Oreochromis niloticus: one gene and its partner. The protein of the gene in region 1 purifies or fractionates together with the protein of each later gene. This does not show direct contact. Links are inferred from orthologs where the notes say so. Each region holds a gene or a part of one and is shown on either strand. Other genes may lie near its edges. The genes, in order: srprb and srpra.

Evidence for each region.
Region 2: the proteins of srprb (region 1) and srpra purify together in Homo sapiens (affinity purification with mass spectrometry; 6 studies listed by BioGRID and IntAct, counting the BioPlex papers as one, with this or other methods). This does not show direct contact. The link is inferred for Oreochromis niloticus from reciprocal best matches to the Homo sapiens genes SRPRB and SRPRA.

The regions. Positions count from the first base shown.
Region 1 is NC_031979.2:23,286,578-23,290,494, reverse strand, and holds the start of srprb (signal recognition particle receptor subunit beta), read right to left. Parts: upstream 3,010-3,917; 5' UTR 2,995-3,009; coding exon 2,941-2,994; intron 2,842-2,940; exon of another isoform or gene 2,827-2,841; coding exon of another isoform or gene 2,807-2,826; intron 2,755-2,806; coding exon 2,388-2,754; intron 2,059-2,387; coding exon 1,964-2,058; intron 1,856-1,963; coding exon 1,778-1,855; intron 1,695-1,777; coding exon 1,612-1,694; intron 1,276-1,611; coding exon 1,139-1,275; intron 933-1,138; coding exon 878-932; intron 1-877. UniProt on the Homo sapiens protein: Component of the signal recognition particle (SRP) complex receptor (SR). Ensures, in conjunction with the SRP complex, the correct targeting of the nascent secretory proteins to the endoplasmic reticulum membrane system.
Region 2 is NC_031979.2:16,095,912-16,099,828, forward strand, and holds the start of srpra (signal recognition particle receptor subunit alpha), read left to right. Parts: upstream 1-1,182; 5' UTR 1,183-1,333; intron 1,334-1,453; 5' UTR 1,454-1,468; coding exon 1,469-1,591; intron 1,592-1,898; coding exon 1,899-1,982; intron 1,983-2,101; coding exon 2,102-2,265; intron 2,266-3,222; coding exon 3,223-3,383; intron 3,384-3,472; coding exon 3,473-3,635; intron 3,636-3,874; coding exon 3,875-3,917. UniProt on the Homo sapiens protein: Component of the signal recognition particle (SRP) complex receptor (SR). Ensures, in conjunction with the SRP complex, the correct targeting of the nascent secretory proteins to the endoplasmic reticulum membrane system.

The DNA of each region.
Region 1 (3,917 bases):
ACTCCCATCTTGGATTTGGTGTAAGGCCAAAATCCACATACTGATAAATTTACCAGAACAACACTGATTGTTGAAATACATCTATTTTTAGAGGTCATATTTTGAATAATATGCAAAATGAAGACTACATTAAAAAATGTAAACGTATATCGTCTTTGGACTGTGGGAGGAAGCCGGAGTTCTCAAAAAGAACCCATGCAAACATGAGGAGAACATGCGAACTCCACAGAGAAAGGGTCTGACCAGGTGATGGATTTGAATTCAGGACCTTCTAGCTGTGAAGCAACAGTGCTATTTATGGTGTGGAGTTTGCATGTTCTCCCGTGTCTGTGTGGGTCCTCTCTGGGTACTCCGCCTTCCTTCCACAGTCCAAAGACATGCAGTTAGTGGGGTTGGGTTAATCGATGATTCTAAATTGGCCATAGGCGCGAATGTGAGTGTGAATGGCTGTCTGTCCCTCTGTGTTAGGCCTGGCGACCTGTCCAGGGTGTATCCCGCCTCTTACCCTATGATACCTGGGGGTAGGCTGCAGTAACACATCACAGTCCACATTAAACACACACATCCTACAGTCTGCGGTAACAGGTTCATAATAAATACAGGATCAGTCACTGGCTTATCAGCGGAAATATGAATAAAATGGCAAAATTACTACACAAAAACTGAAAAACAAAAAATTCATATCTGCAACAATCCTTGAATCCTGCTATGTGGCATTCATTATTTTTTGCGGTTTTATTTATTTACACTGAAAACCACGTTTAAGAAAAAGTTCCACTGCTTTGCAATGGACAATAAAGCTTTGATTCAAAACCTGTTGCGATGCTCCTAAAAATATTTATTGTATAAGAAGACAACAAAACAGAGAGTTACTTACAGCTCCTTTTCCAGCTGCTGCTGAATCAGTTTAGCGGATTTTGCCATGGTGATGTCTACAAGATAAAAACACCAGTGAATAACCTGGATGTAGAGTAAGCAGTGAAGGCTCAGATATTAGGACTCAGAATGGGACTACACTCTCAGTGAACTGCAATTACCTTATGTGACAGAAAACTATGAATCTTTCTATTTAAACATGAGACAAACCAAATAAAAAGTTTCCACCAGCTCTCTAAAAACTCTCTGAGGGTTACTGTACCTTGTTTGTTGCACGCCACCACGAGAGCCGGGGCGTTTCTGGTGATCACGGCGTCCGTCAATAACACATACAGGAACTCGGCCACGTCTCTCACTTCCTTCTGGAAGATCGCGCTGTCCACTACAAACACAATCGCTCTGAAAAAGAGGACAGGGTGATGATAAGACAGATGTGATATGGAACAAGGGGACAATTACTTTTTTCACACGGGGCAGGCAGGTTTGGATAGCTTTTCTGCCTTAATCAATGAAATCATGACGTTAATACTGCACTTACTGCACTTTGTATTTACTCAGGTTATTTCTAACATTAAAGTGTGTTTGATGATCCAAAACATGCAAGGGTAAAAATGGCTTTACCATCCTTTCTATACAGTCTATGGTCAGAACATTTCATTCTGTGGAAGCAGCATTATTCCATTCACCTGTCAGCGGTTCACACATACATCACCTCACAGATCGTCCTGCTCTCACCTGGCCGCAGACTTGAACTTCTCCAGGTACTGAGGACGGAGGCTGTCGTGGCCTGGCAGGTCTATGAGAGTCCAGGTGCTGCCCTGCAGACGGGGTGGAGAAAAACAAAGGTGTAAATCCCACCCTCACACGAGTTACTTCTGTCCACTAACAGTCCTCAACTCACCCTGTCATTTTTGGCTTTGTATGGAGCACTGCTGTCAGTGATGGAGGTCTGTGTCCGCTTGAACTTTCCAGACAGCAGCTGCCAACACATGAAAAGCACACAAACAAATAAATAAACAAACAAACAAACATGAGCTGCAGGGCACCCCCCTGCGGGCTTCCGGGGTCTGTCTCAGCATTAACTCACCCGGCTGAAGAGCAGGGTTTTCCCCGAGTCACACAGCCCCACCAGCAGCACGGAGGTGCGCACAGTCTTACTGGTGAGGAAGTACTTCAGAAAGACTGCAAACACAAAGCAAAGGGTACACATTCAGTGACTGATTCTCAACGTATCAAAGGCACTTGCCGTCCGTTAGCCAAAAATGTGTGGTAGCTCTAAGTTTGAATGACTTCCCGTGAAACCGACAGCCGTTGTTAGCTTCTTAGCTTGCTACTTAAGCTAAAGTATTTAAAGCATATATTAATTTATTAAAACAGCGCATGTTATTGTATTTTCAACGTTAAAAAGCCCTGTTCACATATCAGGTTTATCACAGACCAGCTGTTTGCGGCTAACGGGGCTAAGCTACACGCTTGGCCTAGCCTGCTAAGCTGCTAAAATGACTTCTTACCACAGGTGATAACAACCACCGCCAAAGCGACGATAACTCCGATCAGGAAGACCGGGTCCTGCTCTTCTAGCTGCTGCCGCAGGGACTCAATGTAAGGTTCAAACGGAGATCCTGCCATCTCCACGTCTGCTTTCTCTCCCACGTTTCCACCGGTGTTGTGTGCTTCCATCACTCCGTCCAAGCTGCTCTGAAATGAGACACGTCTCCTTCCATCTGAAGCCTGTAGGGAGCCACAGCGACCAGCAGGGGGCGCCCGCCGCTCGGGACATTCTCCGTTATGGGTCTGGACCACAGACTGTATGTAAAAGACATTAAAGTGCTGGAACCAGCTAGAGGTAAATGACAGTTTCATGCCACGTTTATTTCTCTGGAAGTAAATGGAAGATAGTTTTCATGAGAAAAATAGAAAAAAATAGTACCTGGTAATGTAAAATGTCATAAGTTACTCAAGCCAAATGACGCAGTTATCTTAGGGGATAAGGAAGTATAAAAACAAACAGCTAATTTTAACACGCAGGAAGTGATTCAAAATCAAAAGTGAAATCAAGCATACACTGCAAATCCGGTGTAGTCCTCCATCTCCTTCTGACAGCTGCTTATTTCTCATCCATTCTGGTCATTCCCAATAGAAACGGTCACCACAGCGGATCATCTGCCTCCACCTCACCTAAAGCCTAGCATCCTCCTCTGTCACACCATCCTCCTCTGTCATGTTTGTAGTGATGTCCTCCTTTACTACACGCACGAATCTTTGCGGGCCTTTCTTCCAGCTAGCTGCTCCATCCTTTTTTCAGTAAATCCACTGTCCCTCCTGGGAGCTGACCTGAGCTTTTCCTCTGGTGTACTTATTTCTCATCCATTCTGGTCATTCCCAATAAAAACCTTTACACCTTCAGATCAGAATGTCTCACTGTCATCTTGTAAACCTCCCCTTCCACTCTTGCTGCTAATCTTCTGTCACATATCACTCCTGATACTCATCTCCACCCACTCCACACTCCTTGCACTGTCTTTTTCTCTTCTCTTGTGCCCGTCTGTTGATTTGGATGGTTGACCCCAGGGATTTAAACACCACCTTCACTACATCTGCTCCTTGCTCTTTCACATTTCCTCCCGCCTCCCTCTCATTCACACACACACACACACACACACACACACACACACACACACACACACATATTCCTTCTTGCTTCTACTCACTGTTTTGGAGGTCTTCTCTCCAGCACATACCTCCACCTCTCCAGAGTCTTATCTGCTCCCTGCTCTCACAACAGATCATACTGCCGTCTGCAAACATCACAGTCTACTAGTCTCATTACATATATGGAATTTTCTGTAATTTGCCTGCAAGTAAATGAGTACATCTGTGCATATTTTCTGTGCAGTCAAAAGACTCATGGCTCTGTTATTTGGTCATGATATGACAATTACTTCGTTTGTGTTCTGTTTATATTTTGAATTCTGTGGATGTATAATTTGCTTTCCGGTGTTTCTGTTTTCAAGAGTAGGGATTTAGCAAGGTCAAACATT
Region 2 (3,917 bases), about 7.2 Mb from region 1:
CTTCGTGCTACTTTGATCTTGCCCTCTAGCCTCCTTCTCCATGGAGGGTACTGCCCCTTGTGGCTGTTCAACTTGTAGCCAAGTATCTCACTGATCACTGCTGCCGTAGTGTAGATCAGCTTGTTAGTGTCGGTAATCGTGGTTGTAGGTATCGTCCGTAGTGCTGCATTAACATCATCTAGCAGACCTTCTGAGGGTACTTCACGTAATCTTGGTAACCGGCTACGGGGGATCCAGGTTTCAAGCTTGGCCATGATCCTATCTTTCAGGTCAGTTCCTCTCGCACTCAACGATCCTTCTCCTATCGCACTTGGGGCTATGTACCCAATCTCGGGTGGGGGTGATGATATCTCCCCCCTGACCTGGCGTCCTGACTCCTCCTTGCCGTAGCATTTATGTTGTACCTCGTCAATCTCTGATTGATGGGAGGCGACCGTGGCTCAGGGGATTGGGAAGCTCATCTGTAACCGGAAGGTTGCCGGTTCGATCCCCCTGCTCTCTCTGTCCTGGTCGTTGTGTCCTACTGCCTACTGGTGTTGGCCAGAGGGGCCGATGGTGCGATATGGCCGCCTCGCTTCTGTTAGTCTGCCCCAGGGCAGCTGTGGCTACAACTGTAGCTTGCCTCCACCAGTGTGTGAATGAATAGTGGAATTGTAAAGCGCTTTGGGTGCCTAGAAAAGCGCTATATAAATGCAATCCATTATCTGCCTTCAGTACCTCTACTCATTGCAGCTACACAGTTACACTAGCCTAATTCTCATTCACACATGTACTCTGTCTTGCTTATACTGGCTCCAGCGAACACCCCCCAAAATACATACTGGTATTACACCAGTGCTGTTGGTTTGGGATCAATACTAGCACAACATGTTATGTTGTTTGTAACCTCTAAGTTTAGTATATAACCCACTTAATTGCTTTAAATAAATTATATTTTGGGAATGAAAAAATATACCTGCCAGTTTTATTATTTTTATTATTTAATAAAAATAATCAATTTATTTATGTATTAATTTATTTATTCATTAATGTATTTATTTATTTATTTTTATAGCCTTTAAACAACAGAAGTTGACCTAAAGAGACAGGACCAACACATGCTATTTTTACAGGTAACAGGTAAAAATACTGGCATTTCTACTGGTGAAGTACACACGAAAACACTACCGGTTCATTCAAATGACAACTGCGCAAACGCAAAACTCAGTAAAAAAAAAAAATGCCGGAAGTCAACATCACTTCCTGATCGTGCCTCTGACGTGTCTAAAACAGTTTTTTCACTGGTAGTGGGTTTCACTCGTGGGGCATTTATTATCAGTTTAAGTATTATCCGGTAAGAGTTCGTGTTCTGAATAGCAGGCAGGAGCCGTTAAAACGACACTGTGTATTTTTTAATCCCAGGGCCCTCTTTCACTTTTATCCACATGTCTGTCTGCGTTTTTGTTTAATCCAGGTACGTGCTGAGAAGATGCTAGACTTCTTCACCATCTTCAGCAAAGGGGGGATAGTGTTGTGGTGTTTTCAGGGAGCCGGTGTCACTGAATCCTTCACGGGGCCGGTCAACGCTTTGATCCGCTCGGTGATCCTTCAGGTGAGCCTCACGGCTAGCTGCTTGTGGTTGTTGTCTTTTTATCCAGCTCTCTGTAACAAGGGTCCAGCTAATGCTAGCACTAACGGGTAGCTAATGCTAGCGTTAGCTTATGGCGTAGCGATCAACTAAATAAGCTTCTTCTGGGCTGTGCACCCCCCCGATACCACTGTCATTCATAAGTTCAATATTTCCTGTGCTACAGTGACGTAATTTAGGTGGTTGAAAACACACACAACAATAGCTGCAGTAGCAAAATGTGTGTTTAGCTCCGTTTACATGGTATTGATGTTTTTTATTTTTTTTACAGGAGCGAAGTGGGAACAGTTCGTTTAGTCATGGGGGCTTGAGTCTTAAATACAAGCTCGACAACGAGTTTGAGTTGATTTTTGTGGTAAGTCGTTCATATAAGCATTGAATGAATTAAAAAAAAAATCAACTGAGGATATGTGTTTGTGTTTTATATGTGTTTATGATCATTGCCTTTTTCTTGTTTCACCTGTGCATCTCTAGGTGGGTTTTCAAAAGATCCTGACGCTGACATATGTGGACAAGTTCATAAATGACGTCCAGCTTCGCTTTAGGGATCGCTATAAGAATGAGCTGGAGCAGAAGGGAGCTTTAAAGCTGCTCAACAACAGCTTTGAGTTTGAGAATGACTTCAACATGCTTCTCAGGTAAAGAAACAAAGTAATTTCCAAATAAAGACAATAGGTGTATTGTTTGGTGCCTATATCTGTAGGTAGGAATGGAAAATGTGTATTGGTTTTATGTGCAAATGATGTTATTAGTAATTTAAAGCCAATTCATTCATTGTCTTCCGGTTATCCAAATTCAGATCGTGGTGGCAGCAGGCTAAGTAGGGTATTCCAGAGGTTATTCTTCCCAGCCACATTTTTCAGTTCTTCTTGGGCGATTGCAAAAGATATAAAATCTCTCCAGCGGGTTCTGAGTCTACCTTAGAGTCTCCTCCCATGCCTAGAAAACCACTAAAGGGAGGTGCCCAGGAGGCATCCTAACCAGATGCCTGAATCATCTCAACTGGCTCCTTTTAACATGCAGGAGCAGCAGCAGCTGAGACTCCTGAGACCCCTGAGACCCCTGCAGATGTCACAGCTTGTCACTCTTTTTCACCCAATAGGCAGGGATTATACTTTCCACAAGTCTGCTAGGGTTCACTTGGGTCCCGCTGATACAGATTTCATCATCAGATGGTTAACATGAGGGTCCCCTCGGACGTTTGCATACTTCCCTGTTTTTTTGTTTGTTTTCTGTGACTCCCCGCGTTACTGCTGAGGCTGCATCTGTCAGTCCAACTGGCGCTCTGTCTTTCCATCCCTTATAAATATTTGAGTTCCTTTGCTTTATGTTCGAGAACATAAAATTTGAACACAACAATTCAATTTTATTTTAGCAGCAATTGAAATAAATCAAGTCTATCTTGATAATGGTCAAAATATGTTTTTAAATATTCGTTTCACATGCCACATAAGAAATATGATCAACAAGCTGTGAGATTTAATGGTTTTGTTGTATGTTTGTTTTATTAGCTTAGAAAAAGTGAAGGCTGCCTCCCTGACAGAGTTTCTTTTTGTTCTTCCCTATGTTGACATATATTAATTGTTTACCAAAAGTGTGGCGGAGGAGAGCAGTAAAGCTCGAGGCCCTGCCGGCATGCGGACCTTTGAGCAATCTGGGAAATCTCAAAAAACTGTGAAGTCAATGATTGAGACAAAGGGTGGGGACAAAGGCAAGGAACAGGGTGGCAAGAAGAATAAAAATGCCAAAAAGGAGGGTAAGTGGTCTCTTCTGGTTATAAAAAGCAAAATCTAAATGGATAAGGGTAACATGATTTCAGACTCAGTTGACTCTAATCCTTTCCAGCTCCTGCAGCTCAGCCTGCCAAAGGGGATCAAGACAAGGCCTCACCCTCTGGCCAGAAGATGGTGGAGAATGGTAACCAGAGCTTGACTGCAGAGGAGATCTTGCAAAAGAACAGAGAGGAATTCTTCCGTAAGCACAGGCCAGGAGCTTCTGAAAAACCCAGGTAAAGCAGCTGATACTTCCATTTAAAAGAGACAGCAGGCCAAGAACAATGTGTGTTTTAAAGACACACATTGATTTTTCTTTTCCTAAAAACTTATATTAAGTGTTACTTCTGTGTGTGTGTGTGTGACTGTCTGTTGTGTTAGAGCCATGGTTTGATGATAATAATTGATTATTTTCTTTCCTCGTGTGTAAAGCATGTTGAGACACTCATTTTTCATTCTGATCTCGTTCTCACAGTAAGTCGCCAAAGCCTCAGAAGCCAAAGGGGAAACAAAATCGT